3 linked regions of the Caenorhabditis elegans genome follow. The protein of the gene in region 1 interacts with the protein of each later gene in a pairwise test. Each region holds a gene or a part of one and is shown in the gene's direction. Other genes may lie near its edges.

Region 1 (4,523 bases):
GCTATGCCATCATTTTATATTTCGTCCAGCTCTCGTATCTCGCATTTTTATTTCCATGCGGAGTTTCTGATGATATTTTCTTCATTTTTATTCTAGAATTTCATGATCAATTATATCTCACTAATATTTAATCTTAATTACAGATGCTCCGTTCACTGGTATCCAGTGTGACGACGGGTCCGACTCCAGAATGGGCCGGGAGAATTCTAATGGCCTTCAGTGGACATATCAGTCAGCAGAGAGGTCGCAGAAGAACATTGACCCCAGCTCCATGGCTTCCGCCAGTCAAAGAGAGTGTGCCGAAAAGCAGTGTGGGTATTAGCCAGGGGACAAAGTAAGTTGCATTAATTCTTACCTGTTTAGCAAACGTTTTTGTTCAGAAATCTGCTTGAAACCGTAATTGAGAAAGAAACTCTTGCGGCGTCCACCATTGCATTTCAAAATTCTCAAGAAACCAATGTCTCAGTTGTTGACATTCCAGATTCATCAAGACGTGTGGGTCTGGTTGTCCGCAAAATCGGAATGCTCCCACAATGGACAAATGAAGGAAACCGAATTCTGTGCACTGTGCTTGAAGTTGATGAAAATCATGTTGTCAGTATTACATCACCAGAGGCTTGGTATAAATCGTCAGCCGTCGGAAAAAGAAAGGCTTTCAATCGTCACGGTCCTATGTGGAGAGTTACAGTGGGTGCCGGAAATGATGATCCAACAAAATACACGCTTGGGTACCGTAGGCAATTTGTTCGCGCAGGAATTCCAGTGAAAGGTTGGGTTTTTTTTGTGTTTTGCTCCGCTTTTCGATAGTCCTTCACCGTAAATTCATGGTTAAAAAAATAAATTCAGAGAAACTCGGATGTTTCCTGGTAACAGAAGACGCTCTCCCCAGTGCTGGACAGCCACTTGATGCCCGTCACTTCGGAGTTGGTCAATATGTAACTGCTACTGGAAAAACTATTGACTGGGGATTCCAGGTAATTTTTTTCAATTTACAATAGTCTAAAACTTCCAAAATTTCCCTTGCAAGCCAAGGAGCAAAATAATCTCTCAACCCTTGCGAAATATTTTCGAAACTAGTCGTTTTCAGGGTGGAATGCATCGATGGGGAATGCGTGGACAACCGACAAGACGTACCACAAAATCACATCGTAGAATTGGTTCCGTTGGTTCAGTCGGCGATGCTCGAATTTGGCCAGGAAAACGTATGCCGGGACATATGGGTTATGAGTGGAGGACTGTTTCTGGTTTGGAAGTAAGAAATTGCTCTCGATTTTAATTTTCAATTCATTTATTTAAGATTGTTCGAATCAATGTAGATAAACAAGTAATTTATGTGAAAGGAAGTGTACCTGGTGATATTGGAGAAACAATTCTACTTAAAGATTGCTTACAAGAAGAAAAACGTCTGAAATCCGGCCCAATGCCAACATGGGCTCCATCACTAGAAACCATCGAAGAAGAACCGGAGACAGAACCCGAAGAAGGCACAATTCCCAAAAATCTTCTTTTCAACGAAAAATTCTCGCCCAAACTGTTCCGTTTCACATCTCCATCCATTTTATTCACTGATGCCGACGCCAAGAAGGCCACTGGAAGAGATAAAACGAAAGCTAAGATTGCAAAAGTTAAAAAGTAATGGTGTATCTAATTTTATGATATATTACGGTTTTCCTTTATCGTTTTTTGTCGAAATTCGGTTTATTAGAATTTTTGTTCCGTAGATTTATAGATTTTTCATTGTTTTGCATTGTTTTTGTTTGTTCTGAATACCAAAAAGCAGAGTTTATATTCAATTATTTGTTGATTTTTTTCCAAACCGGTCGTTTACCGAGATTTACTTTATTTCTTAACATTATGCATTCTGAAACTTGGATTCTCAATTTGAAGCGAATGACAAGACTGTGGTGAGCTGGTTAATCGAGAAGTATGGCTGAAAACGACGGGGAAACGATTGTTCCAGACGAACAGTGCAATTTGACGGCCTCAACGCCTATGAAAAGTAGTGGGTTGGAAGTGAGTTGCTTTCTTTTTTCAAAATACTGTTTTTGAAACTTGAATTTTTCAAACTTCAAAGCTAGACAATATTTTTAAAAAATTGTTTATGAAAACAAGCTATAAAATAATAAAAAAGGGAAATATATTAAATTTTCAGCAAGTGGAAAGCCCGAAAGAACGAAAAACTTCAATGGTGGAATGTGATGACGAAGGGAATCCATCATCAGGAACCCCAGATGAATCACCAAAACAATTGACTCCGCATAGCATTCCCCCAAGACGACGACGTTCTCCACGACGCCCGGAAGTGTCAGCTTCTAGACTTCCTCTGAAAGTACTGAATCAGATTTTTCAGTATTTACCATTGAAAGGTAAACATATAACATTTTCCCCCTTGAAGTTACATGGCTCTGTTTTCAGACCTACGATCTGCAATGCTAACCTGTCATAGTTGGAATAACGCTCTTTCAATGGAAGACAGTGACATATGGCAGTACCTTCTTGGCAAGAAGCTTCCAGAAGCAGCAGTTTCCGATCCCTTCCTGCTCGCCGAGCTGGGATCTGCAAAAAAGAAGCTGAGAGCCTGGTATTTTGCCTGGAATACGAGCGATATTTCAAGAAATAACTACATCCGTACCAACGGTTTCACTGTTCACCGGCAGCCAGTTGCTCAGTCAACAGACGGTGTCCGTGGAAAACGAGGGATTTCAAAAGGAGTACACGCATTTGATATAACTTGGGATGGACCGTTGGGAACTGTAGCCGTTGTTGGTATTGCTACTAAGTGAGTAGTTAATTTATTTGAAAATTTAAAGATATATCTTTAACATTTTCAGACATGCTGCTCTTCACTGTGTTGGCTATGTTGCTCTCCTCGGATCAGATGATCAATCATGGGGATGGAATCTTGTAGATAATGTTTTGATGCACAATGGAGCACAGCTTGGTGTTTATCCAAAAATGAACAATCCTCCGAAATATGAGGTATTTCACTAAAAAAATTCAGTTATAAGCCGATGCAAGCAAATATATTTCGTTCTAGGACGAAACAACGGTATTGGGCCACAATTTTACAAAATACGACGTTCTTGTTTTATAAAGTTGTTTAATATGTGAAAAAGTTCAATTTTTCATCTCTAACAATTTAAGAAACATGAACGTCATGGTAAAATCGCATGACGAGTTTTTTTTGAGTTGTCGAGAAATTTCCAATAATTAACTTTTTCTGTATATCTGCATTGTGAAAAGTGCTAGAAATTCAAACCATTTTTTTTATTTCCTCGGCTAGAATTCACAATATTCAAACTTCGATAAATTGAAACAATTATTTTCCATTCACTAAAACTGTACAGAAAAGAAAAATTATATTTTTTAACAAAGTGAAATTTTAAAAATTTAGAACAAGTTTTTTTGTTGTTTTTTTTTTTTAATATTTAACTTCCTGAAAAATTATATTTTGAAATAATGGTTTAAAATCTTCGAATAAACTAATTAGTTAAAAACTGAAATAATCCTTTTTCCAGGTCGGCGATAAAATCCGCCTAATAATCGACTGTGACACCCATGTCGCTTACTTTGAACGAAACTCGGAATTTCTCGGAATCGCATTCAACCATATTCCCCCATTACGTCTCTATCCGGCTGTCTGTGCGGTTTATGGCAACACAGAAGTGACAATGGTGTATGTTGGAAGTCCACAAATGGGTTGAAGACGTTCGCTAGAGCGTATATTCTGACTTCTGCGCGCGTATTTATTCGCCACTCAAAATGTAATTATTCACATGTTTTCATCGCTTGTCTCATATTTCTACTGTTATTATAATTTTCAGAAAAATATGAAAATTATTTAATTCTGATATTAAACTTTACCTGTAATTAAAACACTCATAATAGATCTTTTTCCCGCACGCTTTCCTCTCACACACTTTCTCATTCCCATATTGATCTCTTTTATTGCTTATCGAGCTTTTCTAGTCACTTCGTGATAATTGGTCCATTTCTCAATGAAGCTTTTTCGTCGCTTTATAATAATATTATATGCTTTTTAAATTGTTTATTCGGTTTTTTCTTTGTAAAAATCCGCTAAATACCTATAGTTTTTCTTGAATTCTTTTTTCCTAATCATCAACTTTTTCAGCCTCATATCAGAATCACTGTACGTCGCCGGCAAAAATGATGTACGATGATGAGGATGAGATGGTTAATGACCCGATGGACGGAGACTATATCGATGATTCGGATGAAATCAGTGCAGAAGCATGGCAAGAAGCATGTTGGGTTGTTATCAGTGCTTATTTCGATGAAAAGGTATTTTTGATTATAAAATCATGAAAGAATCTCTTTTTTGAAGGGTCTCGTTCGTCAACAACTTGATTCCTTCGATGAATTCGTCCAAATGAATGTGCAGCGAATTGTTGAGGATTCTCCGCCAGTCGAACTTCAATCAGAAAATCAGCATCTTGGCACAGATATGGAAAATCCTGCGAAATTCTCATTGAAATTCAATCAAATTTACCTCTCGAAACCAA
Region 2 (3,439 bases), on another chromosome or scaffold:
GAAGCATCCGAAGCAGCAAAGAACCGCGAAATCAAGATCTCGTCTTCGGATGATGAAATCTTCTTGGTAAGCTGAAATTCGTTTGTTATTGTCATTTTTATCTGAAAAACTAGGCTTCGGGTCGATAAGACGCTTTCGCAGTTCTTATAGAAAATGTTTAGTAGCCTAGTTGATTTTTAATAAATCAACAAAAAAAGCGGCACTGTACGCTAGATGGCATGGGAAAAATTGCAATCTGAACTTCCAGGTCCCACGCAATGTGATCCGTCTCTCAAACACTCTCAACACTCTTCTTGTGGACCTCGGGCTCGACGACGATGAAGGAACCAACGCTGAGCCAATTCCAGTGCAAAACGTCACTGCCTCGATTTTGAAGAAGGTTATCAACTGGTGCACCAAACACCAGTCCGACCCAATTCCAACTGAAGACAGTGAGAAGAAAACGGATGGTTCCATCCAAGACTGGGACAAAAAATTTCTCGATATTGACCAAGGAACCCTTTTCGAGCTCATTTTGGTAACTTGTTATTTTAGTTGCAATATTTTAAATTCCTATTTTCAGGCTGCCAACTATTTGGACATCAAAGGACTTCTTGATGTCGCCTGCCAGTCTGTCGCCAACATGATCAAGGGAAAATCTCCAGATGAAATTCGTCGTGCTTTCAACATCAAGGACGACTTCACTGCAGAGGAGAGAGAGCAAATCCGTAAGGAAAACGCCTGGTGCGATGATTAAATCTCCATCTTTTCCCCTGTTAAACTTTCAATTACCTTGTTTTCTAAATGTTTCACATCATCCACCATATCTTTCCCCTTATTAAACGCACTTTTTAATTGTTAACAAATTTCTTCACTGCCAGCTGACACAACTGTGTACAGTTCTGTTTTTCATTCAATAAAGTTGATGTGAACATGAAAATTGCAAACAATGCAATTGGTTTTAAAGCCACAGCAATAGTATTTTTTAGTCTGAACAGGACTATAGATCCTTCACTTTTGAAATGGAAGATGACGAGATGTGAAATTCTAGGCCAAAGTTGCTTCGTTTTCCGCGCGCGTAGATTTCGAAATAAATAAAAAAACAATACTTTTCTCAGTTTTAAAAGCTACGGATCGTGTGAATGAAAATTACTTTCTGTGATTAATTGCGAATGGGGTTATTCAAGTAATGTATTTACATGACTTTATCGCATATTGCGCCTGACGCTGCTAAATCCCCGCATTTAACTGAAAGTTGCGATATCTTTAAAACGAGATCTATTTTTTCCATTTCTTTCATTTTTTTTTTCCTGATATTCTCCTTTTTCTATCTATCAAAAATCGAGTGCCGATATTCGCTGAAAAGACTATATTATGTACGCCGTCCGCTCTCTTTTTAATTTTATATAATTAAAAAACATTATCTCTGAATATCTGCAACTCGAAATTTAGTAAATATACCGTTCCTCCATTATCTTTCTAGTATTTTTTTAAAGACTTTGTCCATCCAATAAATTGTCATATTTGTCAATTCGTTCCCGCATTGCGTTCTATAACGATCGATAACTCTGCGTCTCTTCCTTTGTGTGTACACTGTTTCCTCGCTTCTCTACACTGTTTCCTCGCTTCTCTCGCATCATACGACACACTCACATTCTATTCGCTCATTTCTCAACGTTCTCATTCTATTTTTCGTTGTTTTTCTTTGTTTTGCAGGTATTTTGCGTTGGAAAATTTAAAACTTTTAATTTTTCTCGATGGAAATACTCTTAATCGTTCTTTTTTTTTTCTACCTGTTCTTCTTTATTATTTGTATGTAATCGTTCTTTTCACAATAATTTCTCAATTTCAATCGATTTCAACGCGATGGCTGATCAAAAGAAAGTATCCGAGGCGGCAAAGGAACGCGAAATCAAGATATCGTCTTCGGATAACGAAATCTTCTTGGTAAGATTCAAATTATTCCTTCGTTTTCGTTATTTTTGTCTAAAAAAACTAAATCGATAAGCCGTGCTGCATGCATGCGCGCGTAGAGTTTTGCTTCTTGGTATCCTAGGTGATCTGACTTATAGAAAAATAGACAATGTTAAATGTTCCACTATATTTGAAAATTCACAAACTAAACTTCCAGGTCCCACGCAATGTGATCCGTCTCTCAAACACTATCAACACTCTCCTGATGGATCTTGGACTCGACGACGAAGAAGGAACCAACGCTGAGCCAATTCCAGTTCAAAACGTCACTGCCTCGATTCTGAAGAAGGTCATTAGTTGGTGCAACCATCATCACTCCGATCCTATCTCGACTGAAGATTCCGATAACCGCGAGAAAAGAACTGACGACATAGGCAGCTGGGACGTCGAGTTTCTTAAGGTTGACCAAGGAACCCTTTTCGAGCTCATCTTGGTAACTTGTTATTTTAGTTCCAATATTTGAAATTCATATTTTTAGGCTGCCAACTATTTGGACATCAAGGGACTTCTTGATGTTACCTGCAAGACTGTTGCTAACATGATCAAGGGAAAATCTCCAGAAGAGATTCGTCGCACTTTCAACATCAAGAACGACTTCACCCCGGAAGAGGAAGAGCAAATCCGCAAAGAGAATGCCTGGTGCGAGGATTAAATTACCCTTCAGTTTGCCTATTTCTCTATTACATTTCTAAACGACATGTCGCTTCCTTCCCCTTCACACTTCACACATTGTCCTGATATGGTCTCTGTCTATTTTTTACATCATCTCTGGCAGCCCAAAAACTTCTTCCTTTTTTCACCTAATTAAAATGCATCTTTTGAATTTTAACCGCCATTCTATATTTATACCTATAAATCACCGACCGGCAAAAATTATGCAGTGTGAGATTCTCACACATTTCCTCCAATGAACATCAGTGTGTCCTTTACGTGATTGTACATGCCTAAAAATAAAGTTGATGAGACGATACAAAAAACAAACGATTTATGTAAAACATTGAAAAAAATATAACCCGTGAATGTATTTAAATTCTGATATGAAAAGTTCTAATGAAGTCAGGTGATCGAGAGACAACGTGTTCAAATTCTGCGAAGTTTATACTCGAGTCTCCATCCAAATCAGCTTCTTCAATAATTCGTTCAATTATAAATTCAACTTCTACATCACTCAGCTCATCTCTTGTTAAACTTCGAATCATTTTACTCAAATCATCATGTCCAAGAAGTTCATCTCCATCGTAATCTAAAACAATATTTTGATACTAAATTAAATATTATTACGCAGACCTCTAAGGACCGCTATTGCAATATAATTTTATCAGATATAAATGCAAAATTTATGTCATGATTGTTAAAATAACAATATGATATAATACAATTTATTTACGCGAGTTACAGTAACCCGTTGCCGGAATGGCGAGACGTTGCGCGTAAATTGTGGTGAAAATTCGCAACTATGGACGTCTACGTAATAAGAACCATATAA
Region 3 (4,929 bases), on another chromosome or scaffold:
TCTCTAACATGTATCCATGTATCCAGTTTTTCATAATTTTCAGTCATATGTGAACTTATTGAGTGCCTTCTGTTTATACAATTTGGATTGTTTAAATAATTATGAAATTTCATTTTTTCGATAAACATTGCAATTTTATTATATTTTTATAACAATAAAAATATGTGAACTTTTTGAACTATTTTGATTGTTTTAAATGGATTTTTTCAAGAGTCTCAATTATTTTCAGAAATTTTTAATAAATTATATTTAACAAAATAGATCAGTATAGACACTCTTGATGAATATCAGATGTTTCAGCAGTTGACAACATTGAAAGACATAACACTAGATCAAAAGTATTCAATTTTAATAGTTTTGGATACGCCACATTAATAAAATAATTTGCTGCAATAAAGTTTTAAAAAAACTTGATAAAATTTGGTGCTTATACGATTAATCACATACGTCACTGTTTACACCTTTCTTAATCCAAGATTTATTTATGTACCTACGTCTATTTTCGAATAGCTGAAAACAACTTTTCTATTTCAGTATACATATTTATATTTCAGATTGTTAATAACACTGCCATCAAACTCTTATAACAGGTAAATTTTAAGGTACTTAATACATACCGTATTTTAGAATATTGTTCAGATATCCCACAGCAAAAAAAAACAATCTGATTTGGATACCTCTCAAGAAATAACAAAAGCTTCTCCAAGCTGGCATATCTAATTTCAAATCTTTTTCCCTTTTTTCCGGACCCACACCCAATTTTCTCCTTCTTCTGTCCTCATCTCCGCTTTTCGACACTTCTCACAGATACACACACAAATACACGCACGGAGCCCTTCTTCTTCGTCCATCTAGGGACACCCGTCCCTTGCTCTCCGTTTCCATCTCCTTGCGTCCTATTTCTCATGTCTGACCGGCTGTCCATTACAAGCGAGTCTGTCTCCAACAAAGACAACACTATGTCTCGTTCTCTTTTCTCCGTTTTGGTTTCATCTCACTTTCTGTGTCTCTCTCACTTCTCTTCCTTTCTCAACAAAACGGGCGCATACCCTTTTACGGGGGGTGGGACCTTCTTCTCTTCGTCTCTTCTATGAATGTCCCTCGATTTTCGCAGATCAGCAAAATGATTCGGACAGGAAACTTAATTTCCCGGAGTTCTAGATTTTGTTCATTTATTTAAAAAAAACGTTTTTGTCTCGGAGAAATATCGTTTTGTGATCGGACAGAACAAGGGATAGGCACGTGGTTTGTGAGCGAACGGAAAACAGTAAAGTCTGTCAATATTGCTTTTGCTCGGCTTTATACTTTTTTATTCCTTGGTGAACAAAAATCTTTCACAATTTTCCCTTTTTCCTCTTTTCTTGTAATTTGGGTAATTTTCATTCAAACGCCTATAATATTTACGATAATTGAAAATTCAAAAAAAATTTCTTCAATTGGAGTTGGATTATCGTACCTAAATTATTCTTGAATAAGCGATCAAAGTAATTTCGCTTTCCTGCTAACTTCATCCGATTTTCTTCATTTTTTAAAGCTGCGATATGATTCGAACCTTTTTTTTGTCAAACTTTCAAATATTTTGTGACAAAAAGTAAGGATAAATGTTAAATTATTGCAATTTTCTTTCAAATCTTAAAAAAATCAAGAAAAATCCCACTGGCGCTACGTTCAAAATCACATCTGCGCATATACTAAGCCTGTGATCTTAAAATTTAGTTATTGTTTCATGGTTTTCTTTTCCTTCAATTTTCCTCATATTTCCTGAATGCACATAATTGCAGAGAAATTGACGCCTCAGAGTTTCTCTGTTATTTTTTTTTCTAAATGCCACAGTTAAATTTTTCAGATCACTAATGATGAGAATCAATCTATCCACAATATTTAACCAATTTTATTAACTTTCCAAAGAATATCCAAATGTCGTTCTTCTTGCGAGAAATTGATGGTGAACGAGTGTGTTCCACGAGCACCGAAACGTCGATTCCTGAAGATAGGAAAAGTGCACGAAGACTGAGAAAATTGCTATACAAATGTGCCGAGAACACATGCAAACCGGATATTCTCAGGGTTCCAGCACATTGCGGGAAACTCGATAAAGAAGAAGGTTAGTATATTTTTTTGTAGTTTGGAGAAGTATAAAATAATAAAAATAAAAATAATTTTTAATTTCAGAGAAATCCAAAACACCTCTGGACCAGCAACAACAAATTAATTTTCATGATATTCTGAACTCAAAATTTGTTGTGGGACCACCTTCGCCTTTTGCTTTAGTAGCAATTGCCAAATCAATTCTTGCACGGTTTGGGAATCCAGAAGAAGTTTCTGAAAAAGAAGATGGAAGCGAAGAGGAAGCCGGAACCAGTGGAGCTGATGAAGAGGGAAAGCAATACAAAAATGTGAGTTTTTATAATGTTAAAAAGTATTAAATGAAAAATACATTGAAATTTCTAATTAAGTTTCAAAGTCAACAGCCAAATTTTTTCTAAATTTTTTTTCGAAACGTAGTTAAGAAGCTTGCAAAACTGGGACATAGGTCGGCAAGGAAACCAGAAAAAACAATTATGAAACCGTGTTTTACACATTGACGATATCCCCCCAGCTAGATTCAAAATTGTTTCCTTTTTAAACGCTAAAAATAGAATATGGTTTGAAAAATAATTATTTGAAATTGAACCGGTGAGTAATAAAACAATTTTGGAATACTAAATTACCATAAATTTCAAAATGGAACTGAACATATAACTCTACAACTTTTTGGAACCCGTGTGTGAAATACTTTTTCTTATTAAAAACTGTTTTAAAAGGTGAAAAATGGTTCAGCTCTCATGAATTTTCAGACTGATCAGCTGGTTGGAGCTAGTTTAACATGTATCTTCGAAGTTCTCGAGCAATTAAGTCGACGTGACGCCGAACTTTGTGTTCAAGCTCTCGAATCATTGTTATCATTGATCCAATCGATGCCAATCGATTGTCTTCAGTCCGAAAACCGTTTATCAATGTCTGCAATGATGCACGTTCTGAAAACGCTTCGAGAAGATGCCTGTCCCTCAGTGAGCTCAAAAGCTACCTCATGCCTTGTGGCTTTATCAGTTGCATGTGGAGAGCCGGAGCATTTAGGAAGCACAATTCGATCATTAATTTGTATGAAGAAAAATATTCGAATGAGCGCCGATTCGACGTATGATATGATCCAAATGCCAGAAAATTTGAGAAAATTACTACTGAAAGTGAGGAGGAAAGCTTTAGGCGGAGACAACACTGCCAATTCCCCGTGAGTATTTTATTCAAGTTGAAAGTATTCAAATATGTAGTATTGTGTTCACAAATTTCTTCTTTTAGTAGAATTTCTTAGAAGCTTGCAAAATCCCATGATAGTTTTATTAGTATTTTATTAAATGCAAAATTTCAGACCAAACTGGGCAATGGTAGATGTTCACGAGCACTCGGTAGCAAGCAGTTTCAGTCTACCTAGTCTTCCTGATAGCTCTCCGTCTTCCGACACTCCCGACGATGACAATCGAATACATAGCACAATGGCATGTGATGGAACATTTCTCTACATTCTTAATTATGTTGGACTCTACAAGTTGGGGACCGGCCTGAATGAAACAATTTCTGGAAAGTTGTATGCAGCGAATCAGAGTTTACAATCGTCGAAAAATGTGCAAATGTATTTATGCAATGGATCATTGTATTTACGAAGAAATTACTCATCATGCATATCAGTGATTGACACGGATTCATTGTTGGATATTGGAGAAGTGATTCTACCACCAAGTTGTGTACAACATGCACTGTTCACGGATGGAACATACTTTTACAGTGCAACTCTGATTGCCAATTCTACACTATCGGTAGGATTTATTCTCTCAAATTAAAAATTAAGATATTTAATTGAAACTATTTTTAAACACTTTTAATCGTGAAAATTCTACTTATTGTTAGAAATAAAAACACATAACATGACAGCTCAAAAAAGTTTATAAATAACATATTTCAGACAATTCAACTAAATGATTCATTTTCCCCTTCCAATGAGCCATCATCACGAAGAAGTCATCGACTCACTGATGTGAAGTTCACGATTCAAGGAGATCTTCAAGTTCCTCACCAACTCCCCGAATTTCTACCTGCAAACCTTCATCGTAAGAATAGTAGTTTTGTTTACATGGAAATTTGAACATATCAATTTTCAGCTCAAACTGTTGATCTTCACTTCACTCGAGAAATGGCATTCATTCAAGCTCGCTCTGGAAAAGTGTACTACGCTGGAAACGGGACAAGGTTCGGATTATTTGAAACTGGGAACAACTGGATGGAACTGTGTCTTCCCGAGCCAATAGTTCAAATTTCTGTTGGAATTGATACAATAATGTTTCGTTCTGGTGCAGGGCATGGTTGGATTGCAAGTGTAGACGATAAGAAAAGAAATGGAAGACTACGTCGACTTGTTCCATCTAATCGCCGGAAAATTGTTCATGTTTGCGCCTCTGGTCATGTCTATGGATATGTATCTGAAAATGGAAAGATTTTCATGGGAGGACTTCATACAATGAGAGTGAATGTTTCAAGTCAAATGTTAAATGGACTGGATAATGTGATGATTTCTTCATTAGCGCTTGGAAAATCTCACGGTGTTGCTGTGACTCGAAATGGCCATCTTTTTACATGGGGATTGAACAATATGAATCAATGTGGAAGAGTTGAATCAACTTCAACCACGTCTTCTCCAAGACATTCCGGTCGTCAAGAGTATCAGATTTGTCCTATCGGAGAACACACGTGGCTAACTGACACACCCTCGGTATGTGCTCAATGCGGGCTTTGCTCCGCACGAGGAGTAGCATGTGGAAGAGTTCCTCGACCAAAGGGAACCATGTGTCATTGCGGTGTTGGAGAGTCAACATGCCTTCGATGTGGACTTTGCAG

The links.
Region 2: the proteins of fsn-1 (region 1) and skr-1 interact in binary tests that used the Caenorhabditis elegans proteins (3 or more experiments, as listed by UniProt).
Region 3: the proteins of fsn-1 (region 1) and rpm-1 come close enough for resonance energy transfer, tested with the Caenorhabditis elegans proteins (one study listed by BioGRID).

Annotation. Positions count from the first base shown.
Region 1 is NC_003281.10:4,935,435-4,939,957, forward strand, and holds fsn-1 (F-box/SPRY domain-containing protein 1), read left to right. Parts: upstream 1-1,887; 5' UTR 1,888-1,926; coding exon 1,927-2,013; intron 2,014-2,152; coding exon 2,153-2,366; intron 2,367-2,415; coding exon 2,416-2,779; intron 2,780-2,831; coding exon 2,832-2,979; intron 2,980-3,518; coding exon 3,519-3,704; 3' UTR 3,705-4,019; downstream 4,020-4,523. Other genes in the region: mrps-18C (Large ribosomal subunit protein uL3m), read left to right, coding at 144-334, 381-769, 847-974, 1,088-1,252, 1,298-1,636; rpb-2 (DNA-directed RNA polymerase II subunit RPB2), read left to right, coding at 4,168-4,302, 4,346-4,523. UniProt on the Caenorhabditis elegans protein: Component of a SCF (SKP1-CUL1-F-box protein) E3 ubiquitin ligase complex which is required for the restriction and/or maturation of synapses in GABAergic neuromuscular junction (NMJ) presynaptic neurons.
Region 2 is NC_003279.8:9,469,719-9,473,157, forward strand, and holds skr-1 (Skp1-related protein), read left to right. Parts: upstream 1-1,831; 5' UTR 1,832-1,845; coding exon 1,846-1,926; intron 1,927-2,110; coding exon 2,111-2,386; intron 2,387-2,431; coding exon 2,432-2,605; 3' UTR 2,606-2,927; downstream 2,928-3,439. Other genes in the region: skr-2 (Skp1-related protein), read left to right, coding at 1-66, 248-517, 563-736; calm-1 (EF-hand domain-containing protein), read right to left, coding at 2,979-3,196. UniProt on the Caenorhabditis elegans protein: Probable essential component of SCF (SKP1-CUL1-F-box protein) E3 ubiquitin-protein ligase complexes, which mediate the ubiquitination and subsequent proteasomal degradation of target proteins.
Region 3 is NC_003283.11:8,816,944-8,821,872, reverse strand, and holds the start of rpm-1 (E3 ubiquitin-protein ligase rpm-1), read left to right. Parts: upstream 1-1,917; coding exon 1,918-2,104; intron 2,105-2,172; coding exon 2,173-2,396; intron 2,397-2,837; coding exon 2,838-3,271; intron 3,272-3,409; coding exon 3,410-3,854; intron 3,855-4,000; coding exon 4,001-4,145; intron 4,146-4,196; coding exon 4,197-4,929. Other genes in the region: C01B7.7 (T20D4.11-like domain-containing protein), read left to right, coding at 1-7.